Linked DNA regions of Saccharomyces cerevisiae S288C. Changing the gene in region 1 together with any one later gene gives a genetic interaction. Each region holds a gene or a part of one and is shown in the gene's direction. Other genes may lie near its edges. The genes, in order: POM152, SRC1, ARX1 and ASM4.

Region 1 (9,673 bases):
CAAATTAAAAGAACTGAAAAGAATTAGGAATAAGCAGTTCACTAGACAGGATGAAAACGATGAAAGAGTAGAAAACCCAGATTCAGCTCCCGCTGAGAGTTCTACTACGGAGCCAAATGCCAATGCGGAAATTCTTGAACCTCTCACTGAAGAAGAAAAGAAAATGAAGAAAAGAAAACTACAGGAGTTATTTACCCCAAAGGAATCGAAAGTTTCGAGATTGAAGAAGAAAAGACTGGATAAATTTATTGAACATCAATTAAAAAGAGAGGAAAGAAAGACAATTATTGGTAAACTTCAAGATTATAAGATAGATACAAGTTTGTTGACAAGCTCTAAAAGGTTAGGAGAGGGCAGGCAGACTAAAAAGGAAGAATTCAAAGAAGCACTGAGTTTAGAACGTCAAGGAAGAGGAAATGAACAAACAAATGAAATATTATACGAAGAATATGAACCAAAAGTTTGGGATGAGTATGGTGAAGGAGGGAGCTCTGAGGATGATGACGGCGAAGATGATTTCGAGGCTTCATTTGGTAGTATGCCGAAACCAACGGACAATGAGGAGAAGAAATCATCAGGTTTTATTGATCATAGACCAGCAAAATTTGGTGGATCTGGTCTTAGCTTTGGGTTTAGCAATATAAAAGTCATAAACAAAGAAAGCAAAACTCCGAAGAAGAAATATAATTGGAGACAACGAGTAGAAATGGAAGAATTGAAGAAGCATGGGAAAGAAGATGAAATGGATTTCGACACGACATCTGAAGATGATGACGAAGAGGAGGATCAGGAAGAAGAAGACAAAATGCATCCTAGTGAAAACCCACTCGAAGAAGTTGAAAGCGCAGATAGTGAAACTGGCTCAGAAAAATTTGACCAAAATGATGTTGCTAACGAATTCAAGGATTGGGCCAATCAAGAAATAAAAAAATTGGAAGGTAGAGATCAAGAGCTAGTTACTCCCACTTTGAACATCGATTATAAACCGATAATTAGAAAGGAAGATTTAGATGATGGTCTCCAAGAAGCTTATGTTCCAATAAACGAGAATTCCACCCGTAAAGCCTTCTATGTTGAAGTTAGCAGATCAGATGAAATTCAGAAAGCAAGAATTCAACTACCAGTATTTGGTGAAGAACACAAAATTATGGAGGCTATTCACCATAATGATGTAGTGATTATTTGTGGTGAAACGGGGTCAGGTAAGACTACACAAGTCCCACAATTTTTATATGAGGCTGGGTTTGGTGCCGAAGATTCTCCAGATTACCCAGGAATGGTGGGTATCACTCAACCAAGAAGAGTGGCCGCTGTGTCCATGGCTGAACGTGTAGCTAATGAATTGGGGGACCATGGTCATAAAGTAGGATACCAAATTAGGTTTGACTCTACCGCAAAGGAGGACACAAAGGTCAAGTTTATGACAGATGGTGTCTTGCTACGAGAAATGATGCACGATTTCAAGTTGACTAAATATTCCTCCATTATCATAGATGAAGCACATGAAAGAAACATTAACACTGATATTTTGATCGGTATGCTTAGCCGTTGTGTTCGGTTAAGAGCTAAACTACATAAGGAGAACCCGATCGAGCACAAGAAGCTAAAACTCATCATCATGTCAGCTACATTAAGGGTATCAGATTTCAGCGAAAACAAAACATTGTTCCCCATAGCGCCCCCTGTCTTACAGGTTGATGCAAGGCAGTTTCCAGTCTCTATTCACTTTAATCGTAGAACTGCATTCAACTATACAGACGAGGCTTTCAGAAAGACTTGCAAAATTCACCAGAAACTTCCTCCTGGCGCTATATTGGTGTTTTTAACCGGTCAGCAGGAAATTACACACATGGTAAAAAGGCTAAGAAAGGAATTTCCTTTTAAGAAAAACTCCAAGTACAACAAAGATTTAGAAACACCCGTTTCTAAAATGGGTATCAATTCAAAAACAACAGATTTGGAGGCTGAGGATATAGACTTCAGTGTACAAGTTATCGATCAAGATAAGTTCAAGAGCGCGATAAGATACGAAGAAGATGAAGGTAACAGTGGAAACGGTGAAGATGAGGAAGACGAAGAGGAAGAAGGGTTTGAAGAAGTCCTAACTGAAGGGCAAACAGCTAACGATCCTTTATATGTCCTTCCACTGTATTCTCTATTACCAACCAAGGAACAAATGAGAGTCTTTCAAAAACCTCCTCAAGGTTCTAGGCTTTGTATTGTTGCAACAAATGTTGCAGAAACATCGTTAACTATACCTGGAGTTAGATATGTTGTTGATTCCGGGAGGTCTAAAGAGCGTAAATATAATGAATCAAATGGCGTACAGAGTTTTGAAGTGGGCTGGGTAAGTAAAGCTAGTGCCAATCAAAGAAGCGGTAGAGCAGGTCGTACTGGACCAGGCCATTGTTACCGTTTATATTCGTCTGCTGTTTTTGAACATGATTTCGAACAGTTCTCTAAACCTGAAATCTTAAGAATGCCAGTGGAGAGCATCGTGTTACAAATGAAGAGCATGGCCATTCATAATATCATTAATTTTCCATTTCCAACTCCTCCAGATAGAGTTGCCCTTTCCAAGGCAATACAATTACTGCAATATTTAGGTGCTCTTGATAATAAGGAGATGATTACTGAAGATGGTAAAAAAATGAGCCTGTTCCCACTTTCACCCAGATTTTCCAAAATGTTACTTGTTTCTGACGAAAAAGCCTGCCTTCCTTATATTGTAGCAATTGTTAGTGCCCTTTCGGTGGGAGATCCTTTTATCAATGAATTTGAGTTGGGAATAAACGAAATTTCTAGAAAACCAAATCCAGATGAAAATCTAGATGATAAGATTAGAGAGCACGATGAATCAACACCAGGTATGGATCCTGAACTGAAAAAGGAATTGCGCAGTAAATTCTATAAAAGCAGGAGTCAGTTTAGTAAATTAGACAAATTTAGTGACGTATTCCGTTTATTAAGTGTTGTAAGTGCAATGGACTACGTTCCAAAGGAACAAAAAGAAATATTCATGAAGAAAAATTTTTTAAGAGGCAAACTAATGGAAGAAATAGTAAAATTGAGGAAGCAGTTAATGTATATCATCAAGTCCAACACTTCAAAAGAAAATATTGCCGTAGTAATTAGGAATGAAGACTTGAAAAGTGATATTCCAAGCGTCATACAAATAAAACTTTTAAAACAAATGATTTGCGCTGGTTTTGTCGACCATGTTGCCGTAAGAGCAGATGTTTTATTTCCAGATGATGCTAAGATAACCAACAGAACTTCCATAATCAACATTCCTTATATTCCTGTTTTGGCCACGAGAACACCAAATATCGAGGACTGCTTTGTCTATATCCATCCGACTTCAATTTTAAATAATTTGGGGGAAATGCCACCCAAATACATGCTCTATTATTCCTTGCACCTTGGTGGAAATAATAAAACAAGGATGAATACTTTATGTGACATCGCAAGCACCCCCTTAGCGAACATAGCAAGAAAGGGACTTCTTTTGACATACAGTAAACCTCTGACTGGTCAAGGCTTGAAGACCGTTAATTTATCACCTACGGAACGGTATTGTTATGTGGTTCCTAGATTTGGATCCACAGTTGACAACGATCTCAAGATTGGTTGGGATTTAAATCCTATAGCAGTGCATCAGAAGAAGCAAAAAGGCCAGTGGACAGTCATTAAGTTTATCACCAGAAAGGGCTTCCAGACCATCACAGGTGAAGAGAAAGAAAAAAAATAATGCGCTGGTATTATAGAAATAGAGTTTCATTATATAAGAACATATAGGAAGAATACATTATTCCTATCTAGGGCATCAAATAATTGCAACCACTTAATGTTAACTTCCTTCATAATTCAAAACATTATGTTCTATAGCACTATGTATTTTATGTCATTATATACGTAGTCAATAACTTTATACGTTTTTTTTATTGAACAAAAGTAAGAATTGCTTAAGACATAATAAGAGGAAACTCATCGAACCAATTCAAAACGGATTATAGATTTATCATACCAGATACGTTTATCAGGAGGCTTGTATAATGGAGCACAGATATAACGTGTTTAATGATACTCCACGAGGGAACCATTGGATGGGCAGTTCTGTGTCAGGATCACCACGTCCATCTTATAGCAGTCGTCCTAATGTAAACACAACACGACGCTTCCAATATAGTGACGATGAGCCCGCTGAGAAAATCCGACCTTTACGCTCGAGGAGCTTTAAAAGTACTGAAAGTAACATAAGCGATGAAAAATCAAGGATATCTGAACGTGACAGCAAAGACCGCTACATTAATGGTGATAAAAAGGTAGACATTTATTCACTGCCTCTAATATCAACCGATGTTTTAGAAATTTCCAAACAAAGGACATTTGCGGTGATATTGTTTTTAATAATTCAATGTTATAAAATATATGACCTGGTAATACTTAAATCGGGGTTACCGCTTTCGGGTTTACTGTTTAAGAACTATCGATTTAATTTCATATCCAAGTATTTCATTATAGATTCCTTCTTCCTGTATGTTTTACCATCCTTTAACATTCCTAGGTTGACTTTTAAGCCATGGGTTGTTTATCTCCAGATTTTAGCTATGCTACTATTGAACATTTTCATATCAAGCGATCACGAGTTCGTTTTGATTTCATTAATTATGACCACATGGAGAAAACTTTATACGAAAGAATTAAGTGTAACAGGTTCAGCCATTAACCATCATCGTATTTTTGATTCTTCCGCTCATTTTAAGGGTGCTCTAACAATCAAGATCCTACCTGAAAACACAGCTATGTTTAATCCTCTTCATGAATCATATTGTTTGCCCATGGATACCAATCTTTTTAAAATTAACTCAATTGACGTACCCATCAGAATAAACTCAACTGAAGAGATTGAATATATCGAGTTGGAATATAGAGATCTTTACACAAATTCGGTAGAGTTACGGTCTTTGAGTAAGAAAGACTTCAAAATCATCGATAACCCCAAATCCTTTTTAAAAAAAGATCAGTCAGTTCTAAAGTCACATTCAAACGATTTTGAAGAAGGCAGTACAATTCGTTATTTGGCTGTAACTCTTCAAGATATTGGCTTTTATCAAATCAAAAAAATTGTTGATTCAAAAAAACTGAATTTAAAGATCCATCAGTCACACTTGGTTGTACCCTACTGTCCAATTGCATCTATTACTGGAACTGGAAGCAATGATAGATGTATTGGCGATTCAGATAATGTTTCTTTTGAAATTCAAGGTGTGCCCCCAATGAAATTAGCATACTCTAAGATCGTTAATGGTCAAACTTTTTCATATGTAGACTCCAGCTTGCAACCAGAATATTTTGAGTCTCCTTTGCAGTCAAGCAAATCCAAACAAAGTTTTACTCAAGGAGAACTAAACGATTTGAAATGGGGAAGAAACCAACCTGTTAATATTAATTTAGACTCTTCCATTACCCAGGACGGCAAATTTGCATATAAAATTGATAAAATAACTGATGGTCTGGGAAATGTCGTGGATTTTACATCTCTCCCTGAAGAATTAAAAAAGCGCTATGATCTATCTTATAATTTCAATGTTCATGAGGTTCCACGTGCAGCGCTAGAAGAAAGATTTGATCCAAAGTCACCCACAAAAAGGTCTATTGCCATCGTGTTTGAAGAAATCAAAAACTGGATTTCAGACATTCCATATGTTATTAGCCTATCCTATACTGATGCACAAGACAAGTCGAAAAAGATAATGAATGTTACTACAGATTCTTTGACCAAAGTGTTGCAAGCGGATCTTCCGGGGTCATATAACTTAGAATATATTGAATCTAAGTTTTGTCCAGGTGAAATTGTGGGTAAATCAAACGTTCTTGTAACTATGCCAGTTGCACCTACTATGGAAGTTAAATCATTTCCAATATTGGACCAGTGTGTGGGACAGGTTGGTCTAAACTTTGAACTATCTTTTACTGGGGCTCCACCATACTATTATAACACTAAAATCTATAAGCTTGAAAACGGTGAAAGAAAGTTATATGATGCAAAGAGATACACCTCTGAAGGTACGAGAAATCGCTTCAGCTATAGTCCACCTAAAGAAGGTAACTATGAAATCGTGTTTGATACTGTTTCTAATAAATTATTCACTGAACCAATCAAATTGGAACCTGTAAAAGAATATACTTTCAAGACATCAATGAGGGTGAAACCAAGCGCATCACTAAAATTACACCATGATTTGAAACTCTGTTTGGGTGACCACAGCAGTGTCCCAGTAGCACTAAAAGGCCAAGGCCCTTTTACGTTAACATATGATATCATTGAAACTTTTTCTAGCAAGAGGAAAACTTTTGAAATTAAAGAAATAAAAACCAACGAATATGTCATTAAAACACCAGTCTTTACTACTGGTGGTGATTATATTCTATCTTTGGTTTCTATCAAGGATTCTACCGGCTGTGTAGTTGGACTCAGCCAACCAGATGCTAAAATACAGGTGAGGAGAGATATTCCATCTGCTGCATTCAATTTTTTTGAACCTATCAAAGAAGCTAAAATTAAGCACGGTTCTGTCACTGAAATTCCGCTCAAATTAAGTGGAGAGGGGCCATTCACCGTTAAGTTTAAACACATGGATTACGATGGAAACATTGTGAAAGAATTTGAAAACAAATTTCAGAATAGTTATAAGCCCGCTTTGAAAGTAAGTAAAGAAGGGCTTTACCAATTGGTCGATATTCGTGACTCAAGTTGCCAAGGTAATGTGATTTACCGGAACAGTCTGTATAAGGTATCTTTCTTGGAGAAGCCAAAATTTGCAATTCAAGACAATCATCACATTACAAAAGTAACGGAAAATTTATTCTCTAAAGAAGAAGTCTGTCAAGGGATGGAAGGTACGGTTGATTTGGCTCTATTTGGTTCTCCACCATTCATATTAGAATATGATTTGATGGCACCCAACGGTCATATTTCTACAAAAAAAATTCAGGTGGCAACCAAATACGCTTCACTGAAACTGCCTAATCAAATTCCTGGAGAGTACATAACTACTATTAAGGCCATCTTCGATGGCAATTATGGTGAAAGCGACATACATTTTAGAGAACATCAGTCGGAGCTCATAATCAAACAGACAGTGCACCCCATTCCAGACGTCGCCTTTGCTGATGGTGGTAAAACCTTGCGTGCATGTGCTGCTAATGTAGATCAAATCTCATTTTTGGAACCAATAAATTTGAAATTTTTACAAGGCGAAAGCCCATTTTCAATCACCTTTAGCGTTTATCACGAGAGTACCAGTAGGACAGATCAGTATACCATTGACAACATTGACTCAGAGAACTTTTCATTTGAAAAGTTATATGAAGGGATGAAGTTAGGTAACCATGCCATTACTATTGATTCTGTTGTTGACGCAAATGGTTGTGTTAACAGCCTCATATCTGGACCGCGTAATCAAATTCTTGTGTCAATTACTGATGCACCAAAGATACATATATTAGATCCTTCTACCGAGTATTGTGTTGGGGACTATGTTGCATATCAATTAAACGGTGTGGCACCTTTCATGATTAAGTATGAATTCAACGGTATTCCACTAAAATCTAAGGAACGCAGCTCCCAATTTGTTAGATTAGCATCTGAACCGGGCATTATATCTATCACTTCTTTACAGGATTCATCATCACAATGCATTGTCGACTTTACGAACCCTAAATTAAAGAGTGAATTTGATGACTTATCTTTAAACATACATCCTATTCCTTCCGTAACTGTTTCTCAAGGAAATTACGTTACTGAGGATATCCGCGAAGGTGACCAGGCTGAAGTAATCTTTTCGTTTGAAGGTACCCCACCATTCTCACTAACTTATGTAAGGACAGAAGAGACTGATGGAAAACACGGCAAAAGGAGGTCGCAGGTTGTTGAGACGCATAAAGTCACTGATATATATTCTCATGAATACAAGGTAATTACAAGCTTGCAAGGTACCTACGAGGCGATTGAAATTACAGATGCTTATTGTTTTGCCAAAAATGATCTTTTTTTCAATAACTAAATATTACAAGAAAGTCTGATGAAATTTTTCTTTCCCGCAATATTTTTGTACAATTGTAATGTATAATATATCTCTGTACATCAGTATTAAAATACTTAAGAAAGCGAAAAAGACGCCTGTATTGTTTGTTGTTCTTTTTCTTCAAAATTATCAAGACGCTCGATTCAATTATCTTCGCTCATAGTAACTCGAAAGAGTGTAGGTGAATGAATAGAAAAAGAGAGCGCTGAGACCTTTGTCCTTTACGGTCTATAGAGGTGTGTTAAAAGCAGACTTTTGAACATCCACAGAAATTGGCTCAATGACCTATCCGAAAAGAATACCTATAAATGCGTGGTCTGAAGTTCATAGGGTGGCAAGGCCACTAATTATTACTTTCGACGCATATAATACACTATACGCCACAAAACTTCCCGTCATGGAACAATACTGCATTGTTGGGCGTAAATATGGTATCAAGGCGAATCCTTCGACTTTAACAAACAATTTTCCACACGTTTTTAAAAAACTGAAGGAAGACTATCCCCAATACGGAAAATATTCTGGTATCAAGCCCGAACAATGGTGGTCCATCTTGATTAGGAACGTCTTCGCACCAAACGAAATTCCCGATGAGATGATAAATGAAATATTAATGCGGTTTGAGGGCTTCGATTCGTATTTTGTTTATCCAGATTTGATCAAATTTTTAAAGGATTTGAAGTCAAGACATCCTGATGTTATCTTAGGAATAGTAAGCAATACTGATCCAATTTTTTACAAATTATTAAAGAATATCGGATTATTTGAGACATTTTCCGGTCACATTTATTTATCATATGAGCTTAATCTCGCCAAACCTGATAGAGCAATATTTCAATATGCGCTTGACGATATTATATCTAAACAACCTCATTTACTCGAAAAGTACACCAGGGAGGAAATTCTACAGCATTGCTTTCACATCGGAGATGAATTAAAGAACGATCTCGAAGGGGCAGAAGCTGCCGGTTGGACTGGTATACTGTTAGATAGAAATGATAAATACGGGTTTCTTTCAAACTCGATTAGTAAACCAATGCGGGACGAATACAAGCTGTCAATTGATAAAATAGATAATAATTCAATAAACACTTGGGAAGCCAATACTAAGCAAACTGACACGTTACAGTTGAGTGAAAGAAAGTACGTTGTTTCGAATCTTGAGGTTTTAGAGGAACTCTTTCCCTGAGCGCCTAACGTTACAGTAACAAATATGTATGATAGATATTATTCATATCCGCCAGTAATATTTACTATATCTTTGAATGGGTTTGTTTATTAATAATCTACTATGTGTAAATATATGATCCAAGTATTATACAGTTTAGACACTGATTGTTTTCCAGACGTTCAAACCGTCAGTACCGGTACTTACTAAACAACCTGGGATTTGCTTATGCCATTTGACATCTTTAACTTCCTTTTGCCAGTGAACAAACAATAATTGTGGTGGAATTTCTTGTAGCTCTTTTGTTTCGGCGGCCTGTTGTTTAATTTCCTCATCGTCAGCTTCTACAGACAAATCCCACAAAGTCACAGTATTATCTTCTGAGCCTACCGCAACGATAGACTCATCTAATGGG
Region 2 (8,417 bases), 320 kb from region 1:
CGTCCATAATTTGTCCTTCCCAAAAAATAACCAGCTTAGATTCTGACAATGCTTGTTTCTTTAATTGATGATCTGTAATATTCGTTGATCATTAATACCATTGATTTCAATATTTCATGTTTAATCTTTTGCGCGAAAATTTCAATTGCAAACCAAAATATACATCAACAATCTTTTATCGGTCAACAAATTTGTCGATATAACCAAATATACGTCGTCGCTGCCCATTATACAATCATCATGGTAGTATCCATCATACCGCAATTTCCTGATATCAAGGTTTCACTAGCATTGTTTGAACAGGTTAAAAATGCTAAAGAAATACGCTCTAAAATGAGTGAATTGTCGACATCCTTTGCCTTTATTGACCCCCGGTTAGTCTGTTCGGGGGAGCAGATGTATTCTGCAATTTACAAGACCTTAATAGAAGTGAAATATAACAAGATGAGAACAAGAAATTTGAATTCCGAGTGCGTACTATGTCTTTCACCCACTTCCAATATTAGTGATGCTTTCCTCAAATTCGGAATCAAAGACGATTCGTCACAGTTAATATGCCTTAAGTTCCATACTAATACTGACGATGTAGACAAAGAGCAATTGAGGACGATTATGACTTCTATAGTAAAAGGACAAGAGATCGAGTTTAATGATGACAATTTATCGAGATTTTATGACGAAGCGCTCATAAGAAAAGTATGTTTTAATAATAAATTCGAGGTAAAAACTTCAACAGCCTCACCAGAAACACATTGTACTAACTTCACCTTTGTTTTCCTTTTATTTTGTTTTTACCTATTAGATCTATAAATTAAGTGATGATTTCAAGCCCCAAGACGTAAATGGTCTCTCAAGAGCTTTGGTAGACGCTATTCAATTGAGGGGTGTGTAGATAAGAGATATCTAACGATAAAATTATAAAAAAAATTCTTTGATTATTTTTCAGATTAGTATTATTTGTTCTCCGTGAAGTCAGTGTATCGAACTGCCAAAAGTTCTCCTTATATACATGTGCGCGTATAACCATCACTTTTCTTCAATGGTTCTCTTGAAATTGGCAAAATGATTAACTAATTCCAGTTCAGTTGATAATGTATCGTATCTGTAGTTAATTCTAATATCAGGAACATTTGTTCTAACCACATCGTTACCTTCAACACCACTCTTGTCAAAATCTTTCCCTATCCAATGTTTTTTGATTTGTGCTTCCCACCCACTTTGCAACACGGAATTTCTTGCCAATTCACACATATCTACATTAGACAATTTATAAATTTGTGCTGCAACTGAGTATTCTTCGATTAATGGTTCTCTGGTATATGAGAATTGTAAAGGATCATCTGTGGATAGTGAGACATTCAAACCTCTTTTAAAGTATCTCGGAAATGGGTTTTTATCATAGGTCAAAAATAATGCGTTATTAGAAAGGGGTGACATTGCGATACCAACCTGATCTAAATAGTATAAGTATTGAACAAATGGAACTTTCCTCAATAAAATACCATGTGATATACCATGTGCCAATAGATATGCTGAAACGAGATGCTCGGGGTCACCGGCTTCACCACAATGTGGTCTCAAAACCAAAGTGTTAAACCCTCTCTTAGCCCTCCATTGATTCAAAGACGCGACATTTGAATACAAATAGTACAGGTAATAGGAATAAGGAGGGTTTTGAGGAGCCTCCCAGAGTGATGGCTTGGGATATTTCCTATGAAAGCGGCGATCAACCTTGGATTCATCATCGACAGAATCAAACCCAATTACTCTCTGTAAAAATACATGCAATTTTGGATGAGACTGAGGATTTTTGGTCACTTCAAATAGTGGCTGAAACAGATTCTTACAGATGTCCTGGAAGCTTTGAACAATGCCAGTTTTCTTGTAAATATCATATAACCTCGGAATTTGGACTAACCAACGAACATTATGGGAAATAACTTTGTTGTCAATCACCCAGCTAGCTAGTTTATCCCATTCATCGAGAGACCTGCCATAAACAGAAATTCTATACTCACAGTTTTGGTATTTTGAATTCTCTAAATCGAATATGACTTGTTTGGTAATGTCAGCCAAGTAGGTACCCTTGATGTAGTTGTTTGTCTTCAAAAAAATTTCTCTGAGACGAGATTCACCGATAGGGTTATATTTTAAGTTGAATTTATCGAATCTGTGGAATGTATCCTTATGTGCATGCATATCTAAAGTATCGATGGATAAATCATATCCAGTCAAATGCAAAGAACGGAATACTTCGTCTAAAGTTAGTAGTTTCCCGTCCCTGAAAATAACCTTTTCATCTTTGGAATGTCTCAATTTGTGTTTAATGAAACGTAATAAGTGCTTTTGGTTCATACAAGCAGAATGGTGAACGTGAGTGTCCACTTTCCTAACATTATAAAAATCCCTGTGTGGGTTTCTTTTGGAAACGCTAGTTTCTTGATATTCGTTCAAGAGATAGTAAAGATTCCAGCGTGCTTCTAGGTATTGCAGCCTTCTATAAGCAAATGATTTAGCGGGACCGTCTGATGAGATGGAAATCATTTTTTCTAGATCCAGATAGTAGTCACGAAGGGTAGGGATTTGAGCAATTAACTCATCCGTCTTACCTGATCTGTGTACCACGTACGAGTCGTCATCGTTGAGGGTAAATTCCCAATCTGGATCCTCACCAGGAATTTCACATTTCGTAAAATCGAAAACTTCCGCATCCGGCTTGTTTGTTACTGGCACAACAGTCTTAGTGTCTGAGTTGTATGAAGGTTTAGGTGGTGGTGGATAGACTACCCAGCCTGGCTTATTTTTTGGGTTTTGATCATCGTTTTGCACAGATATGGTCTGATATTTGGCTCTCAAATTTCTACACTCTGCCACTTTGGAATACAAGTCAATCAACTCGGAAGAGGGATCATCAAGAAACTGCTGTGAAGCATCATCAGCCAACATTCCCATTTTATAGGAGGCAGAGGTACGTACCTGCTTATTCACTACCGGAGCGCCGGCAAATGACTTGAGCGTCTCTGGCAAGATATGCTGAGCACTAGCAGACAAGGTCCTCGGTTTACCCCCGGAATTTTGAGATGCATGGTCTGCCGAGTCATGGCCCTTATTCATCGCTGCTATGTTGGAAGAGCTACAATTGGTAGAATGCGATGGTTGCTCCAAGATGGCAGAGTGAGAATCATGCTCATCTAGGGCCAACTGTTTGGTGCCATTTTCCAACAACTGCTGATTCTCGTGATACGAGAAATTAGCATTCCGAGAATCAGCAGCTAAACTTTCGTGTGAATCTTGCTGCTCTAAGGGGGGTGTCTCATCATCCACTACGACACCAGCTTGTTCATCACCAATCTTTCTTTGATCTATGTCAATGACTAGTCCTGAACCATCTTGTTCATCGTGTGAAGGAGCTGGTTCTAGAGAAAGGTCGTTAAGCCTCTGTGTAGCCTGATTGTCCATAATTTTTTTTAGAATGCCCCCTTTTTATTTGTTATATAATTTATTAATCTGGCGTACTAGCAGTTCAATCGAGTTTTGCTGAATCAAAATTGGCTATAGCAGGGAGACTATAATAAAAATACTATTAATATCCGATAATTGACTAGTATACGAGAAACGCTGCTAATTCTGCCTGTAGAGAGAGAGAAGAAAAGTCGTCAAGAGATGCCTTTTTTTTTTTTTTAAAATTTATCTATTTTTTGATAATATCCTTTAAACCTTGTGCTACTAGAACTCCTTTCTCATCATCGCCAGGCGCAAAAAAAAGATGAAAAAGGAATGAAAAAAGAAAAGAGAAGACCCCCACGTGCCCTAAAAATAAAGTTAGGGCATCTATAAAATAACTAGGATATATATATTGATCACCCTGAACGGAAATCAAGGGTTTTAAAGAGCCCTCAAAATTACTGTTTTAGGAAGCCCCCTTTGTTTTTGTTTTGGTTTCAATTTGTGGTGGCTAATCTGGACATCGATCTACTTGTATAGCTGTCAATATACTATGCGGAATACATGGAAGAGAAATAGTCCTCAGTCATTATTAATAGTAGACTGAGACCATACGGAGTGAACGTAGAGGCCAGAACAACAAACAGTAGAACGGTAGCAGTACTCAGTTAGTGCCGCGATGAATAGTGACTTGGAGTATTTAGAGGACGGTTTTGATCCGAATTCAATGAAAGTTGCGACTTTGAGGAGGATATTGGTAGAAAATAATGTCGATTTCCCATCTAATGCTAGGAAAAATGCGCTGGTGGGGCTGTTCGATGAAAAGGTTAAACCGCAGATCCCGCAGTTACGGAAAATGTATCTGAACGTTCGGCCCAGCGATGAAGGTATTGTGAAAATGGACCGTCCCTCATCTTCCCCATCTATAGCTTCCCCTCGTAGAAGTAGACGAGCTCGCAGGGAGAAATCTGCTTCCCCCATGGCCAAACAGTTTAAGAAGAATAGAATACTGGATGATGTAAGTAATGATGATGATGATGATGATGATGATGATGATGACAATGATAAAAAAGACGATCCTTTAATTGTACCTAGTGGAACGGATACCGATGAAGTGGACGATGAAGAGGATGATGTGATAACATCAAGCTCCAACAAATCAGACACCAATGATTTCCAGCAAAATTCCGATACTCGTAAGAAAAGGAAAGACCCTGATTCTGACGACTGGTCTGAATCTAATTCAAAGGAAAATAAAATCGATAATAAGCATTTGAACCTCCTATCATCAGATTCAGAAATTGAACAGGATTACCAGAAGGCAAAAAAGCGTAAGACGAGTGATTTGAACCAAGAGCATGGAAATGGCTCTGCCATTTTAGGAAAACTTTCCGTCAAAACACCAATAAAGAACACAAATAGAAAGCCAGTAAGCATGGATAATTTTAACGATTCGTTGACTTCAAGCGGTACGGAAAATGATCCATTTGTACCGAACATACGACACAATCCAAAAGAGCTCGGAACTGCCAATGGAACAGGCCATAGCACACCCTTGAGTAAGTTAAAAGTTTCTGCCTCATTTGCGGATAAATTGCCTCAAAAGGAGGTACCATCTACAATACTGGTTCCAGAAGTGGAACAGCAAGAACCTTCTCAGAGTGAAAGAACACCGTCTTTGTTTTCGTCCGAAGGCTCTGGCTCAGAGTCGGAAGCACCCTTGCTTCCAGAGATCACCACGCCAGGTCCTCATCAGCCTATGGGTAATACCAGCAATAATGTGGTCGAAATGATAGATACAGATAGTAGTAACTTGGTATCGGATGAAGATGAAGTTTTAGTGCCTACAAGGATCGAGACTCCCCAATTACCCACAGAGAAAGACGTCGAAAAGTGTGAAGCAAGAGTGCAAGAACTTCAAGAGGAAGTAAATGAGCAATTAGAGCATGAAAATGGGAGTGAATTTGATGTTAAGCAAGGATCTGGGAAGGTCGGGAACAGGCATAAGTTCAAAAGAGCACTCAAATTTTTGAGCAAATCATTACTGGCGCTATTTTTATTTTGCATATTCATTGTTATTCCTCTCTTATTTGGCCTCTGGTATAGAGAGCAAAGACTGCTCATAGGTTACTGTGGGCATGAAGTACCATCCCATCGAGTTAGTGGCAATTCCTTCGAGTTTATTCAAAAACTGGATAATTTGTTGCAGGACTACAGACCGAAATGTATCCCTTGTCCACCCAATGGTATTTGTTATCCTTATTTGAAACTTAAATGTAAGCCAGATTACAAGTTAGCACCATCTAGACTTGACTTTTTGGAAATTATTCCTGCACAAGGCAAATGTGTTAAAGACGACAAAAAACAGCAGTTAGTTTCCGAAGTGGTTGAAAAATCTTTAGAGTTTCTGAGAGCCAAAAATGCACAAATTTCATGCGGTGACGGAAAAGACGACATCGAGAGTGGTATGACGGAAGATGCCCTCTATCAAATATTTAATGAGGCTAGAGCTCCTTGGATTCGCGACGATGAATTTGAGGACCTGTGGATCCAAGTTATCAAAGATTTAACTGAAGAACCAGAAATATTATGGAGGCAAGTGAGTACAATTTATTATCTTACAAAAATTATTAAACCTGTTATTATATGATAACAGTTTTAATTTTTTTTGAATTTTTTTTTGTTTTTGATTTATTTACTAACATCTTTTCCTAATTTTCTCTAGTTATCACCCACTGACAACAACATTGGCGGAAATTCCAACAACATCATTAAAACCAATGACGTTCCGAGACAGAAGAGACATCTTCCAGAAAAATTCATCTCCAAGACGAGGAATTTTCGGTCGACGTCCAAGAAATACATTGGAATGAAGTGTCGATTTGAAAGAGAAATCTACCAAACGTATAAAAAATTTCAAAGGCCAATATGGCTAATGTTTTTACTGATAGTCATTAGTAAAGTAATCGAGATCAAGCTGAAGAATTATTATAGAAAGAAGGCAAGAATTGAAGAACTCGTTACTCAAACCATGGAAAAATTGAAATTCCAAAAGATTAAATCAATGTCCGATCCGAAAGAAAACGCGTATTTGAGCATAGTTCAATTGCGTGACATCTTTCTTTCTGATATTGTCGATCTGAAATACAAAAATCAATTATGGTCAGAAGTGGTAAAATATTTAGAGCATAATAACAGTAATATTAAATCGAACTTAACTGAAATTCGAGGTGAAATAATGAAATGTTGGGAATGGATAGGTCCGATGGAACTCAATGAACCTAAGGATTCCGCTGAAAACAAAATATAACCCACAAAATGAAACTCAAACGTAGTTTTCTCTTCTCAAACTTAATGATCTATTGTTTTTCCGAGTTGCCATATTTGTATAGTTTATTCTATTTATACGGTTATCCTAATATCTGTTATATAATTCTTTATGTAATACTTTTGTAAAGTTATAATGAATCTAATCCTGAAAATGACTTGTAAAATAATAAGAATTTTTTATTCGATTTAAAGTAAATATTAATACGACACATGGAGGAAAGAAAAACTAGACGATATAGGAAGAAATACAAATAAAATCAGAATTGAAAGAGTAACTAGAGGATTTTGGAGTAATAAATAATGATGCAAATTTTTTATTTGTTTCGGCCAGGAAGCGTTTCAAGTAGGCTTGCGTGCATGCAGGGGATTGATCTTTGGTCTTCCAACTTCTCTTCGTGTCGATCTTTGTTGCGGAACGGCTGGCACTGCACCATTTCCATTAGGATGTACTACCTTAGAAGGCGGCGCAAACCGTGGAGCAGCTGCAGGCGGAAAAGCTGTAGCGTTCGTTTTAATTGGTGTGGTTTCACGCGGTACTTGATTCCCAGCCCCTTCTAGCATATGAGGCCCCAGTTCTTTATCATTGTTCTTCATGCTCAATTGTTTTCCCTTTGGTGCAAATTTTTCATAGACAGAATCCCTCGCGGTGGTCATCGTTTTGTCTTTTAGCACACTCGCTGGAATATGCTTGGACGTAGTCTGATCAACGGTGTGCCTAATGGATTGTGCCTGGTATTTGGGATCAAAAATGCTCTCTTCACCAATATAACGTTCATTTTGTACGGAAGTTGCAGCCTTAGCTGTAACAAAGGTGATTTGTTCTGCCTCTGGGTTTGAGCTAGCAGTTGGGCTTTGCTTAGCTACAACGGGATCCTTCTCTGTCGTTAAAACATTACTGTTTGTGTTGCCCATATTTATCAAGTCGTCGTCTTGAAAATCATCGCTAAACATAAGAGAATCATCGAGAAGGTCATCTTGATCCTGTTTGGAAGCATCGAGAGATTTGAGATCAGTATCTTTATTACTGCTGTTTTTACTGTTAGCCTCAGCAGGTGCGGCCATCATTGGGGTACCTCGACTTACTGTATTTTCTATTTTCACCAGGTTCTTCGTCGAGTCGGGATTGGTATTTGTAACTTTAGTCAATTGCCTTCTTTTATTCGGGTATTGTTGTTGTTCTTGATTTTCATGCAAAGTATTCGTTCTTGAGCTTTCGCTGATTTCATCCGTTGGCCTAAACAAATTGTTTTCGTCAAAATCTGGCGGATCGAACTTCACCTTATCGATCTTTGCCAGAAAATCTTTATCGTAAAGACAATTTCCTAGAGCATTACCAAACCCTCTCAAAGATCTTTTCAAGGCATCCGTAACGGCAGATTTCTTGGCCCTTTCGAAAGCGGCAGGTTTCCGTCTTTCGTTCTCCACGGTACCATACCCAATATCTTCCCTATAAGTCCCGCTAGTCAACGTAACACGAACAATTGCAGTACACCCTATGCTAAACTTTCCCTGTCGCTCATCCAAAAAATCGATAACTACACTTTTTACCTCCGTAGACCAGCCATTATATCCAAAGATTTGATTAGCAAGATTAATTACTCTCCAACCTTCGATGTATGCAATCCTGCTTGTTCCAAACCCAA
Region 3 (7,419 bases), on another chromosome or scaffold:
TTTGCTTTTTTCGATGAAAGCATATAGAGCAAACCCACCATTGCCTATAGATTCGATGATTGACGACACTAGCACAGAAATAGAAAAAGAAGAAATTTGGAAACAGTGGAAGAAAATTCCAGAGGTTTACGAGCAACAACCTTATCCCTTAGACACAAATGATCACATCGAGTGGATGAACTGTCAAACGACCCAAAGTGAATATGATTCCAGAGATTTCTATGCTTTCCATTGTTTTCATAGAAGGATTGATCAAATACTAAAAACGGACAATGTGATTGACCTAACTGAGGTGAAAGATATATATCAAGGAACAAGGACTGATTACGAAGCAGACAAAATAAAATATGGGGTTTACAAGGAAGCTAGTGAAATCTTTTGGCATAGAAACTACGAGATTGATGATGTTTCACGGTCCGTAATAAATATAGAAACCTCAAATGGACTCCTCTTGAAGCTGCTTGCTACATCAGCAACAGTTGCTGAAGAGTGGGTCATAAAGCTGAAACAAATGATATCCTATTGGAAAAACAAGCAAAGGGAAGATACGGAGAGGCTTTTAAAAATAAGGCGTTCAAATGCAGGTCTTTTGATGCTAAATGGAGAAGAGGAAACAAAAATTGGTGAGAATACATTGCGCTGGATCGTAGAACATGGGCGTGCAGATGAGCAAACCTTTAATGCAAATGGAATATCATTAAGTAGGCCGTTAATTCAAAAGGGACCTTTATATCAAAAGCCGCACAAGCATTCTGTTTTCTCGAAGTACTACGTCGTTTTGATATCAGGTTTTATTGTACTGTTCCACTGCTTTCATAGATCAACCACAGGTTTTGCTAAGGAAGTTTTGGAGTATGCTCATTATGTAACCATTCCGATTGACGATTGCTACCTATACTCTGGGACCACAACAGAACTAGACCTTCTGCAGAGAGATCGTACTTTTGACGAAATAAACTATGGATCCCACGCTCTCCCACGAGTTTATGGGGACGGATGGCGATCTGTAGAAGACGAGAGTTCGCGATGCTTTACGCTTTGGTTTGGAACAAGGCGTGCCCTTTCTAGCAATCGCTTACAGAAGAAAGGGAATGAAAAGCAATATACGCAAGATTATGGTAGACAAGATAATAATATTGACCCACCTTCTGCTCCGGAAGCTGACTTGAATAACTCTAATGTTCCAAGTAACACAGATAAGATCCATTTCACTAAAAAGTTAGGTGTGAGCGGCAAGTCAATGGTTTTCATGGCAAGATCAAGACAGGAAAGAGATCTTTGGGTAATGTCTATTTACTATGAACTTGAAAGACTAAGAAGAACTGCGTCCACTTCAAATTCACGGAATCAAACTATGTAACAATATGTAGTTACGAAACGTTTGGCGGGATGCTTTCTTTTTATTATTGCATAAAATTTAGTGTATACTCTATATATAATCCATATGGAGGGGACAGTTGTTATTACCGCTCTCTATAAGACTCGAGAATGAACTGCGTCTGGTTATGCCATCGATTCCTTTATCCATATCACTAAGTAATAATACTGGCATATCATTTTCATTTTCATTTTCATTAGTACCTTCCTCCTCAGAATGAAGTGAAAATCTAATATTAGGAATCAGAGCTGGCTGTACTGAAGAAGCGACAGTTTCTAAGTTTTCTATATTGCTATGTTCACCCTCAGTGAGAAGGTTTCTGTCATTCACCATATTTGCGGTAGCATTTTCATTATCAAATGGAGAATCAATATGAATAGTAGTTGTAGATTCAGCATCCGACAGTGATCCTGAACTATTATCAAGTTCATTATCGGTCGAATCATCATTATCCTCTTCGTCATCGTCATCATGTTCATCAAAACTTAGACCGAAACTGTAGCAAAGAGTTTCTAAAACAAAAGTCCAGGAGCTGGCCTCGACTAGTTCATCAATTTTATCACTGTAGTCAACGTTCAAATAGCCCACCTTAATCTTCAATTCATTGGGCCTTCTTCTTCCAAAACTTGTAAAGCATCTGTAATCTTGAAATAGTATGGATTTTTTTGCTTCCATATTACTATTTGATACAGCAACAATACCCAAATGTTCATGAATATTTTCGGGATATAGAGTATTTTTCAACCAAATAGGTGAAAATTGTGTCGAGGAACTCTTTGATTTGAGATTTGAGATGGAATCTAGTGAATCTATCTTGTGTAATACCGATCCATAGTCCAGAACATAATTATTTCGATCAACGAAACAAAACTGCAAACGCGCAAATTTAATGGTTAAAGCTTTTAGACTGTTATAAACAACAATTAAACTGTCTTCTTCCTTCAATTTCGTAAAATCGATCTGTAAGATTATTGCCAAATTATCAGGTTTTTCTCGTTTAAGGGAAAGAATTGAGCTTATCGTGGTTAGAACAGATTGTATACTGTCGACAGTACTCTGCCTAGAACATTCTCCTGAATTTAAGGTGAATCCCCTCCTTATGATTACAGTATCATTATCGTGCACATTTCCAACTTCAACAACTTTGTTAGGATTGATTAAACCTAGAAAGGTACTCGTCTCGTGCCTACCATTACCAACATCTTTTGAAAAGTTCTTTATAATGGGAAGAATAGGCAGGGTCGAAGTGATATTGTCCTCATTGAATACAAAATCCTGATTCAATATACCTGATATCCATTTCTGTACAGTTGTGCTTTCGTCAGAATTTATATTCTGAACAATGTAAAGATCTGATAAATCGGCGCAATGTTGTTTATTTAAGGTGCATTTGAGTACTGAAGCTTCGAGTGTAGTCATTCTCAAGTTGGCAATAGGTGTAAATACTTCTAAATTCTTTAGTCTAATTTCCAAAACATCAACATCGTTATCCACTTCTGCTATTACAAATGCGTCTTCAAATAAGAAACACCAGCATTGTATATATCTCTGACCATCTTTGGAAATCATCAATTTGTCTACCAACCTTAGTAATCCATAGTCCCCGTCTATTCTCCAATCCTGCAATTCTTCCTGGAAATTGTTCAAAAGAATTTGAATAAAATATGACCTTAACAGCGGCAACGTTGTTTTGGTTTCGTCATCCTTTGCTCTTACCGAATTGGAAACAGCAGAAATAGAATCATTAGCTGACAACGCTACAGAGGTGTCTGCTAAGATAGAGTTTGCTCCGGACGGAATTCTTCTGTGCCCCAGGGGTGAATGTAAAAATGTATAGTTTGATTTTTTTTGTGGAATTTGGTTTCTTTCCTTGGGGGGTGCAGCCAATATGAGATTTGGGTTTAGACTTGGAGCTTGAGAATATATCGTTTGTCTTTCAACAGGTGTATAGGATAACCCAAAAGGAGGCAAGAGTGGTGAATAAGGAGGAAAGCGGGACTGAGGTGTGATTGATAACTCAGAATCAGGAATCTTATGAATCAAAAAATCAGAAATTAGAATATCCTTTAGTTCATCATTTTCTGGAATGCATTGAACGGCTTTGTTAGTATCTTTTTTACATTTGGTACAAAAAGGAAATAGCGCACGAACGTCTGCCTTTGAAGTGGTGCCAAAAGAGATAATAAGACATTCTTGGTGACTTAAGTGGCCACATGCAAGCTCTATAATTTTCTCTCCCTTTCTTCTGTTAGAAATAGGCTCGTCACATAACGTACAAGAAGCATTCAAAAAGGATTTTTTAATAGAGGTTCTTTGTATTGGATAGCCAAATGGAGCGACCTTGGGTGGTATATTATCTGATAAATTTTCGGCCCTTGGGGGCTCATTTGCTCGGGATAGGTTACTATTACTTGCGTGAAAGAGATTGGAATTAGGTCTTGGCAAAGACGATGTTCTGTGAGGGTGTTGTGGCAAATAATCAGTGGAAACCGTAGAAGGTGTATTCATTAGGTTACCGTCTTCATTGCCAGAAGAGTTTGAAGAAGTGACCCTAGATTTGGGTGAGAACGAAAATGTAGAGGAGGAAATAGGAGAAGGTGAGAATCTTTTCTTTTTAGCACTACTTCTTTGGAACCTGGCTAACTTTTCCGTCCATTTTTTTCCTCTTGACAATGGGGATAGAGTACTGGGCTTCTCTAGCTCTATTATTTGGTTGGGAGTTCTCGACAAGGTACCACTATATTGTGTCGAGCTACCAAAATTGTGAAAAGGGGAAACTATATTGTCTGTAGGAGTTTCCATCATTTAAAAGTTGTTTCCGCTGTATCCTGTATCTTCCTTTTTTAGCGCGGATGCTAGATGGGTTAAAACAGTTTTAAAATATTTTCAAATTACTTTTTTATGCCTTTCTTTTGTCGTCAACTTTTCGAGGAAATTCTCGGTATTTTCTTTAGCTACTATCGCCTTTCATATTTTGATGCAGAAAAGTACATGATGTGTAAATTAACAAGCTACATATCGCCGCACCCAAAAAAAAAAAAGAAAAGAAGGGAAATTGTTCAAAATTATGACAGGTTACCTATGGACATGTGTCGTCTAATCACTACCTTTATATTTTTTAATTAATTCATGTGCACAGGCCTGCTTTCTACTATTGAGCAATACGCCTTCTAAATGACTCTCCTACTTCAAAAATGTATCAGAGTAGAACTGCGGAAAGATCCAATATTTAACGCTTCTTCTTCACTCGAAATATTTCTGTCAGTTTTAGAATCTGTTATATATCCCTTTAAAGGAAACTTGATACTTCTAGATTTTCATCTTGTCGATGTTCAAACAACGTGTTATCAGAGAAACAGCTCTATGAGAAATCAGCTGATGTCAGTATTCTGTCAGTCACTTCGTGAATTTACATTGACTGCTCTTTCGTGCAATTCATACTGTATTATTATAGTTGCAACTAGATGGCAAAAAATTGATAATGCCCTAAAAATGACAGGCCGGTAACCCTAAGCTTTTTTTTACCCGGAGAGGGTCATGCCTCTGTGAAGCTTTTTTTGCTTTCTGAAAAAATTTTACCGAAGTAAAGAAAAATTTCAGCAGAAGAGATGAGATGAGCTAAAGCATCGTGTTATTCAAAATACTTTTAAGAAAAAACCCGACCCGACTAATATTGCTAAAACTATCATGGCTCTAGCTATCTCCCACGAGGATACTCAGATTTTGCTAAAGGACAAAAATATTCTACAGGAATCGGTCTTGAACAAATACAGAACTGCTGGACAAATCGCACAAACTGCTTTGAAATATGTTACTTCTTTGATCAATGATTCATATCACTCTAAGACCACACAGCGCCAATTAACCGTGCCAGAGCTATGTTTGCTTACCGATTCTTTTATTTTGACCCGGTTGGAACAATATTATAAAAACAAAGTTAATGAAAGAGGTATTGCCATTCCAACCACTATTGATATCGACCAAATTTCTGGTGGATGGTGCCCCGAAATAGATGATACTCAAAATTTGTTAAACTGGAATAAGGGGAAAGACTCCACTTTTGCATCATCTGTCACTGGGACTTTGAGACCGGGGGATTTAGTCAAGATTACACTAGGTGTTCATATTGATGGTTACACCTCTGAAGTTTCTCATACTATGGTTATTTACCCCGTTGATGAAACCAAACCTATTCTTCAACCCACTGGGCCACTACTAGGTGGTAAAGCGGATGCTGTAGCTGCTGCTCACATTGCTATGGAAACAGTTGTTGCTTTATTAGCCTGTGCTCTGACTCCAGAAAAGCTTCCTGCCTCACTGGGAGGAACTTCAAGTGGTATCACAGGCCAATTGATTAGAACTATAGTGGATACTATTGCCAGATCTTATAACTGTGGCGTTGTTCCTGGTTCTCGTGTAAGAAGGATTAGAAGATTCCTGGCAGGCCAAAACGAAGGTATTGTTGCCGAAAGGGAATATAAGGGTGTTGTTTGGACAGAGTCCCATCAAGAAGCAGATTTGCTATCTAATACTGATGCCAAGGATTTAACAGTGGTAGATCGTGGACAATCGACTCCATTCACTAATGTTTCTGCTATTCCAAGTGATGATTTCGTTGTTCAATCAGGTGAAGTGTATTTAATTGATTTGAAAATGGCATCTTTGGAGCATTGTACCAAAAAGGGTTTAGTAACTTTAGAAACCGTTGACTCTTACACAGGTAAATCTCATAAGGCTGGAGAATTGATTGCAAGACCCGGTGCATATGTTAGAGATTTTGCTCAAACCCATATTCTTAAATTAAAAACTTCTAGACAATTATTAACTAAAATCGATAAACAAGGCGTTTATCCATTCAAGTTATCTCATTTATCTTCTAACTTTCCTTTCGTTCACGAAAATGAAGAAGAACTCCAAAGCTTAAAGAAAGATTTGAAATCATTTAGACTTGGGATGAGTGAGATTTCCAACAACTACTTATGTGTGGAAAGTCCAATACAAATTGCTAGATGGGTTCCATGGGACCATATTTTAAAGGCTACCAATCCAAACGGTAATTTAAGTTATGATGCAACCTCTACATTAACATTACCTGGGCATGAGTTACCTTTACCAAAATTGGGTGTTTCAGCCATCAAGCTTAAATCCTTAATGAATTCAACCAAGGAATCGATTTCTTTACCAGTTGCTCGTGAATGTAATACCATCGTATTATGTGACTCTAGTGTAAGTACAACGGACAGACCCGAATTATTGAGATTAACTGGTGGTTCTAAGACCTGTCAACCGAGCTGGATTCACTCTCAGCACGAATTAAATCCACAAGATTCAATTGTTCAAGGGATCTTTCAATTAGCTACTTTGGCCAAGGATAAGAGGTTCGGTCTATTATTAAAGGAAACGCAGCCAATGAAGCAGAAGAGTGTTGAGACATCAAATGGCGGAGTTGAAGAAACCATGAAAATGTAGGAAACTTCATCATTTCTAAAGCTAGTATATAAATAATATAAGTATATCATAAAATGTAAAATAGAATATTATAAAAAAAGTCAACCTAGCTGTACTAAAACCGCTTGGTTCATTTGCTCAGAATCTTGCATTATAATTACATTTTATTTGCTATACAGATGAGATGGAAGATTAAATATCTCACGCCTGTTTCGCCATGCTTTTGTAACACCGGCGGATTGAGAGACATGGGCTTCTAATATTAAATCATGTCATCGTCATCGTCGATGTCATCATCACCAATTGACAAAGATGAGCCGGGTGCTCTGAAGTTAGCAGGTTCTTCCACAAACTGGGAAAAATGAAAAACAATAAAGGCAACCCCTAAAATAAAAGTAAACATTCCCGCCAATATGTTGTAGATACCGCCGAAGCTGATTATCAGACTTAGTAAAATATAAGATAAACCCCTTCCAAGAAAACTAAAGTAAAAGGAAGCATACCTGTAAAGATTTGACGGAACCTTGAACTCCAGATAGACGATAGGTACGGAGAGTGCCAGTCCGTAAACTGCCAAGAGGAAGACGTTTAAA
Region 4 (7,371 bases), on another chromosome or scaffold:
CTTCAATCTCTTTCAAGAAGTTAGCATTGCCATAGACCCCGGGAATGTTAAAAGTAGTGGTTTTAGCGCCTACACTAACAACAAGATAATCGTAACTTAAGCTCGAAACGAAATATTCGTCCTCTGACACCGATTGCACCATTACTTTTTTGGCCTTTGGATCAACGTCCAACGCTTCCGCCTCAATGTAGTGAACTTCTCCAGGCGTTCTTCTAGCGATCGATCTAACCGGTTCGACAATAGACTTCATCTCTATCGTACCCACAGGCGTTGAGGGTAATAACGGTGTGAACAAAAAGAAGCTTCTTGGCGACACCACGGTCACGTTATACAAAGACGTGTCTAATTTCTTCAAAAGAGATATGGCGCCCCAGCCTGTACCCAAAATAACCAGCTCCTTCTTTTTCAAACCATTAGCAAAAGCGGTCGATTGGGGAACCTGTTTGGGTGGGTTCGATTCTTTGTACAGCTCGTATGACACATACAATGTGCCGGCCAACGTCGTGTAAAAGGTTAACTTTAAACCTCTGACAAACCATTTCTTGAATACCGCAGTGTAAGATTTCGATAGCTTCTGCTGTGGTCCGGGCTTACCAACTTCAGTGGAATGGAAAAAAGGTTTAGAGATCTGGGTCATCTTGAAACGGTGTATGGACCTAGCAGTCCTCGCAAAACCAAGTCTGGGCAGCATCTATACGAATGGCAAGTACGGTGGTTGTTTTTGTCTTTCTACTATGTTCCTGGTACAATCCCCGCAAGATGGGTTTACCTACTGGCACTGATATACCTCTTATATACGCAGGTCAACAGCGCACTCCAAAGGGAGGGGCTGACTTATTAGGGGAGGCCTGTAGGCTGTAGAGAAACCCTTTAAAAAATGAAAAAAAAAAATGGGGAAACAAGTGTCAGAGATGATCTGCTACTGTGACGCATCGATATTAGTATATCTATCGGCACTAAGGAACGCATGACAGGTGTACGCAATACCGCACTCTGGGGAATGACTAAAATAGAGACATTTTCGGCGTTTATGCGTATTATAAACGGTACGAGCGGTTGAATTTACCCGGCCATCCGGGCTCTATTATTTCACTCAAGATCACTTCTTTTGTCTTGCCATGGCAACGTTTCCATATTTTATACAGTATTGCTGAAGCATTTCTAGCAATACCAACAAGATCAATACTACACAGAGCAACAAATTACGTCGCAAGACGATACATCTTTAACAATGGCTAGAGGTAATCAAAGAGACTTGGCAAGACAAAAAAACTTGAAAAAACAAAAGGACATGGCTAAGAACCAGAAAAAGAGTGGTGATCCTAAGAAAAGAATGGAGTCAGACGCCGAAATCTTGAGACAAAAGCAGGCCGCCGCAGATGCTAGAAGAGAGGCTGAAAAGCTTGAGAAGTTAAAAGCCGAAAAGACGAGAAGATAAGCAGACACTTTATACCTGTCCTTTTATTGGAATGAATAGTGCCAGTAGTTTCTTACGTATAAAGTACTTTATAAACAGCTGTTATGTTTTTTGTCCTTTTTAGTTACCTTTTTTTTATTTTTTTTTTATTTTTTTTTTTTCTTTAGTTAATTAGAACGCTTTCCTATATTGTGCTTCTTTTTCTTTTTCTTATTGTTATTTAGTATATAGCGTGTACAGAGTGAAGATCTTAACAAACGTGCTCCAAAGGTGTATTGTCATCGACAAATTCACCCAAATCGATTCTCAATTTTCTGTTGAACTGCTCGAACAAGAAGCCGAGACAACTTTGAGTGATAGCGGAGTCGAACCTGCCCTTGCTGAACTCGTCACGGATGAACGCATGCTGGGCAGCCAGGATTTCCAAGAACGTAAACTTTACTCCGTGGTCTCTGAGGGTCTTTCTGATTAGATCGCGGCCTTGCGGGTCGACATGGGTGTCCGCAGTTCCGAAGATCAAAACCATTTCTTGGTTATTACCCAACTCCTTCGAAACACGTTCCAAAGAGTTATCGTTCTGGCCAAGACCTAAGGTTCTGGAATGGATGTCGGTAGGGAAGAAGCAGGTTGCGCAGGTAACCCTTTTGTCCAGGAGCGCTCTAAAAGCCAAATGGCCACCTAAACACATTCCTGTGGAACCAATTCTCTTACCATCGAATTGGGGTAACTGGAAAAGTAGATCGCAACACAGTTTGTTGTCCTCATCGTATGATTCTAACGGCTTCTTGATCTTGTACTCGTTACCAATATCGGTACCCTGCACGTCATAGGGCAACGCTTCAGGGCCCATAAAGTTGTGGTATATGGCAGGTGCCACCACAACGTAACCTTCAGACGCAATTCTTTGACCAAAACGACGAACCGGACCCGTCACTTGGTAAATTTCACTGTACAGAATCACCCCAGGAAACTTAGCTTGTGGATAGCCTGCAATCTTAGGAGAATATACGTATATACGCAGAGTGGTGCCGTATGATGTCTGCACATCATGAAAGGTCTCAGTAATCAACATTGTTTGCTTTATCTACTACCACGAGTTTATTACGGCGTCATTTTCAGTCTGACCCTTCTTTTATATAGTTTCTCCTAGTGAGGTTTTTCCGATAAAATTTCTTCCTGATCTTCACAAAGCATCCAGCAAAGTAGGAAAAAAGCTGAAAACCCGACGAAGGGTACTTGTTGAAAGCCATTGAGGTATTGATGGTTGGTGGTAGTATGCTATCTGAAGATAGGCCACATGATTTAGGTAAAGGAGCTGGCCATCGCTAACTGACTAGTCGTATTCTTCCACATCATGGCAACTTCCTTAATGTATTACCCGAATAACCGCCGAAGCCTCAGGCATTAGAGAAGAAAGAAAAGAACAAAAAGTTATACTACAAAAGGCTCTACACTCCCAGCAGAAAGCTGCCAACTACCGTCAGAATGTCAACTATGTCAACGCCTGCCGCAGAACAACGCAAACTCGTCGAACAGCTGATGGGCAGGGACTTCAGTTTCCGCCACAACAGGTATTCGCATCAAAAAAGAGACCTCGGACTACACGATCCCAAGATCTGCAAGTCATACCTTGTTGGCGAGTGCCCCTACGACCTGTTTCAGGGCACCAAGCAGAGCCTGGGAAAATGCCCGCAGATGCATCTTACCAAGCATAAAATTCAGTACGAGAGAGAGGTCAAGCAGGGCAAAACGTTTCCCGAATTCGAAAGAGAATATCTGGCCATTCTATCTCGGTTTGTTAATGAGTGTAATGGCCAGATATCCGTAGCACTACAAAATCTAAAACACACCGCTGAGGAACGAATGAAGATTCAGCAGGTTACCGAAGAACTAGATGTCTTGGACGTGCGGATAGGCCTAATGGGACAAGAGATTGATTCTTTAATTCGTGCAGATGAAGTCAGTATGGGTATGCTACAGTCAGTCAAATTACAAGAACTGATTAGTAAAAGGAAAGAAGTTGCAAAACGTGTACGAAACATTACAGAAAACGTGGGCCAGAGCGCCCAGCAAAAGTTACAGGTTTGCGAGGTGTGTGGGGCATACCTATCGCGTTTAGATACAGACAGAAGGCTTGCTGACCACTTCTTGGGGAAGATTCATCTGGGATATGTCAAGATGAGAGAGGATTATGATCGGCTAATGAAGAATAACCGGACAACTAACGCCAGCAAGACAGCTACTACACTACCCGGAAGACGCTTTGTGTAGGGCCATACATAAAAAAATGATGCTAGAAAAATTTTGTTCGAAGGAGAGTACTTATGAAAGAAGAAAGGTTTGTGAATATCACACACATACCTCTGCATAGTTTATTTCCCGATAAGGTAGACATATCGTTTCCCTATCTATTTAAGTTTTTTATTCGCTCTCTTTTTTTTTTTTTCTCTGTAACCTGAAAACAAGGAACGGCAAATTAAAATGTTTGGAATACGTTCAGGCAATAATAACGGTGGATTTACTAACCTCACGTCGCAAGCACCACAGACAACCCAGATGTTTCAATCGCAATCACAGTTGCAGCCACAACCGCAACCGCAACCACAACAACAGCAGCAACACTTGCAATTCAATGGATCATCCGATGCAAGTTCTTTACGATTTGGAAACTCACTTTCCAATACTGTAAACGCCAATAACTATAGTAGTAATATCGGTAACAATAGCATCAACAACAACAACATTAAAAACGGCACAAATAACATAAGCCAACATGGCCAAGGGAATAATCCTAGCTGGGTGAATAATCCTAAAAAGAGATTCACTCCTCATACGGTGATAAGAAGGAAGACAACAAAGCAAAATTCTTCTTCTGACATCAACCAGAATGATGATTCATCTTCTATGAACGCTACTATGAGAAATTTCAGTAAGCAAAATCAAGATTCCAAGCATAATGAAAGAAATAAGTCTGCGGCAAATAATGACATCAATTCTCTGTTGTCAAATTTTAACGATATTCCACCCTCCGTTACTTTACAGGATTGGCAACGCGAGGATGAATTCGGTTCTATTCCATCATTAACAACTCAGTTTGTTACCGACAAATACACGGCGAAGAAAACAAATAGGTCAGCTTATGATTCCAAAAATACTCCAAATGTTTTTGATAAAGACTCTTATGTTAGAATAGCAAACATTGAACAGAACCATTTAGATAATAATTACAACACCGCCGAAACAAACAATAAAGTCCATGAAACATCTTCCAAGTCTTCTAGTTTGAGCGCAATTATCGTATTTGGCTATCCTGAATCAATTTCCAATGAATTGATTGAACACTTCTCCCATTTCGGTCATATTATGGAAGACTTTCAAGTATTGCGATTGGGTCGCGGGATTAACCCCAACACCTTCAGAATATTCCATAATCATGATACAGGCTGTGATGAAAACGATTCTACTGTTAATAAATCTATTACTTTAAAAGGCAGAAATAATGAGTCGAATAACAAAAAATATCCAATATTTACTGGTGAAAGTTGGGTCAAACTCACTTATAATTCTCCATCTTCTGCTTTGAGAGCACTGCAGGAAAATGGAACCATATTTCGCGGTTCTTTGATTGGTTGCATCCCATATTCAAAAAATGCGGTGGAGCAATTAGCTGGCTGCAAAATTGATAATGTCGACGACATTGGAGAATTCAACGTTTCTATGTATCAAAATTCCTCCACATCGTCGACATCTAATACACCATCCCCACCAAACGTAATAATAACTGATGGCACTCTTCTGAGGGAAGACGATAATACTCCTGCCGGTCATGCTGGTAATCCAACAAATATTTCAAGTCCAATAGTAGCAAATTCTCCGAATAAGCGGCTGGATGTAATAGATGGCAAATTGCCATTCATGCAAAATGCAGGACCGAATTCGAATATTCCTAATCTGTTGCGAAACCTAGAATCGAAAATGCGTCAGCAAGAAGCGAAATACAGAAATAATGAACCTGCTGGTTTTACGCACAAACTGAGTAATTGGTTATTTGGTTGGAATGACCTATAACAGAAATCGTCCAGCTAATTATTCATGAACATTTACAATACTTCATACATTTATTATTTTGATAACTTTTCAAACAGCATTGTTTTACTTTTGTTTATTGATTTTTACGTAACTGTATATACTTAGACATAATTAAGAAACGTTATCTTTTGTGATAGTTCTTCTTTTTCTTTGGAGAGCGAAGAATGGAATTAATATCATTCTTATTCAATACATTGAACTCTGAGCCTTCAAACCTTTTCTGTCGTGCGCTTAAAGGCGTTTTTCTCAATGGGCTCAGGGATTTCGATGGTCTATTTTGGTCTTGATTCGGCAGGTAAGCTCCGCCCTTCTCTAAATTTTCATTTGACGATGATTGAGCCAAATTGTTATCCAAAACTTTATCCCTATAATATGGGGACATTCTAGGAGAATAATGAAAACCAATGGGATGACTTTGATGGTCAGATACTTGAGAAATGCCTCCATAATCCTTTATTCTGGTTTCACGGGATCCTGGCACACTTTCTGTCATTTTCGGTAATGCCTCAAATTCCCTTTTTTCATAATTATAAACCTCTCTGATTTCTTCGCCACATAGGGAGTGAGTGGTGAATATTCTCGGTGTTTTAGATCTAGTACCCATTGCAGATGATAGAGTATCTATATTGCTGCATTGGTTAATTCGTGCCATTATATGCTTGTCCTCATATTCTTGCAAAGCTGCACTTGATAAAATCAAGTCGTCGTCCACGCTTCTTTGAAATCTCTTAGTTATGATATAATCCAGAATATATTGATGGAATACTATAGCAATTGCTGAAGTAAACGAAACATCAGAAAAGCTTAAAAAAACAATTGCCGTTGGTGAAAAAGACACAAAAAGATTAATCATGAAGTTAGTGGGGATCCATTTTCTTAACTGAAAAAATATCTCATCTTCATTTTGATTAACATGAGGACCGTCATCACGAGATCCTCTGAAAAAATGCTTCAACATAGACCACAAGGACTGCTTATAAATATCTTCATAGTATTCTTTGCTTAGATCCTTCAAGTTGTGTTTAGTGAGGTTTGGGGAGTTGAACTCTTTTTTCAAATGGAAGAGATTGTAAGTCTTAAAGTATCCAAACATGAATTTACAGCTTACGTACAGGTTCAGGGACAGCAGTATGAAAATAGTAAACCTGAAAAGATTATTCAAAAACCTTAAGGTAACAAAATACCAAGATTGAAATGCATAAAATTGATTATTGTTTTGAAAGCTGGATGATATCTCCCATAGATAATCAAACTCTTTTAATTTATTGGATTTAGAAAGATCGAAAGCGCCAGACTTGACGTTTAGTTTGTAATAGTTGGGCTTGATCAAATTGTCCTGCAAGAGTCTTATGATAAAAAAAAGTATTGTTAAAAAATTCCCTAATGGCTTAGCTAGACTTTTAGCATAAGCATCCCAGTTGATCATTTCTAACTTTTCATTTATTACCAACTGCAAGTCTAAAGGAGAAGTAAGTAGCTGATACCACCTCTTCATCCATGCAGATTTTGATTCTCTTTCCTCACCAACTACTTCCGAGTCGTCATATGCTTCATTTATCAAATCATTTGAACCCATTTTACTGCCGAAGGTAAATGTAAAGCTCTCTACTGCACAACAAAGTTTTTTAGGTTGTTCGTTTCACTAACTTCTAAATATTGTCAATCAAACCAGACTTTAAGGAAACTACCACTTGTCCCAACGGCCTCACCCCTTTTAATACGGTGTTAACTTCTTCCTTTATATATTGCAGGGCTATTTTTCCCTCCTTTCGCTATTGAAAGAGATCACTATTCCCGTGCTCTGTTCTGATTAAGTAGGAGGACAAAAACACTTGTAACTTAATCCACCTATTCTTATTATTTCT

The links.
Region 2: mutations in POM152 (region 1) and SRC1 together harm fitness more than expected from each alone (negative genetic interaction), as found in Saccharomyces cerevisiae (6 studies listed by BioGRID, with this or other methods).
Region 3: mutations in POM152 (region 1) and ARX1 together harm fitness more than expected from each alone (negative genetic interaction), as found in Saccharomyces cerevisiae (6 studies listed by BioGRID, with this or other methods).
Region 4: mutations in POM152 (region 1) and ASM4 together harm fitness more than expected from each alone (negative genetic interaction), as found in Saccharomyces cerevisiae (6 studies listed by BioGRID, with this or other methods).

Annotation. Positions count from the first base shown.
Region 1 is NC_001145.3:523,749-533,421, forward strand, and holds POM152 (Pom152p), read left to right. Parts: upstream 1-4,055; coding exon 4,056-8,069; downstream 8,070-9,673. Other genes in the region: ATP-dependent RNA helicase ECM16, read left to right, coding at 1-3,751; DPI35 (Dpi35p), read left to right, coding at 8,371-9,279; ribosome biosynthesis protein RRB1, read right to left, coding at 9,415-9,673. UniProt on the Saccharomyces cerevisiae protein: Functions as a component of the nuclear pore complex (NPC).
Region 2 is NC_001145.3:205,402-213,818, forward strand, and holds SRC1 (Src1p), read left to right. Parts: upstream 1-4,123; coding exon 4,124-6,043; intron 6,044-6,169; coding exon 6,170-6,754; downstream 6,755-8,417. Other genes in the region: LFT1 (Lft1p), read right to left, coding at 1-7; CGI121 (Cgi121p), read left to right, coding at 241-696, 803-892; AMD1 (AMP deaminase), read right to left, coding at 1,027-3,459; recombinase RAD52, read right to left, coding at 7,114-8,417. UniProt on the Saccharomyces cerevisiae protein: Plays a role in sister chromatid separation.
Region 3 is NC_001136.10:655,114-662,532, reverse strand, and holds ARX1 (putative hydrolase), read left to right. Parts: upstream 1-5,065; coding exon 5,066-6,847; downstream 6,848-7,419. Other genes in the region: SPO71 (Spo71p), read left to right, coding at 1-1,360; STE5 (Ste5p), read right to left, coding at 1,430-4,183; YDR102C (uncharacterized protein), read left to right, coding at 4,553-4,885; TVP15 (Tvp15p), read right to left, coding at 7,089-7,419. UniProt on the Saccharomyces cerevisiae protein: Probable metalloprotease involved in proper assembly of pre-ribosomal particles during the biogenesis of the 60S ribosomal subunit. Accompanies the pre-60S particles to the cytoplasm.
Region 4 is NC_001136.10:296,531-303,901, reverse strand, and holds ASM4 (FG-nucleoporin ASM4), read left to right. Parts: upstream 1-3,898; coding exon 3,899-5,485; downstream 5,486-7,371. Other genes in the region: NADH-ubiquinone reductase (H(+)-translocating) NDE2, read right to left, coding at 1-691; YDL085C-A (uncharacterized protein), read left to right, coding at 1,232-1,438; YDL086W (carboxymethylenebutenolidase), read right to left, coding at 1,668-2,489; LUC7 (Luc7p), read left to right, coding at 2,903-3,688; NUR1 (Nur1p), read right to left, coding at 5,628-7,082. UniProt on the Saccharomyces cerevisiae protein: Functions as a component of the nuclear pore complex (NPC).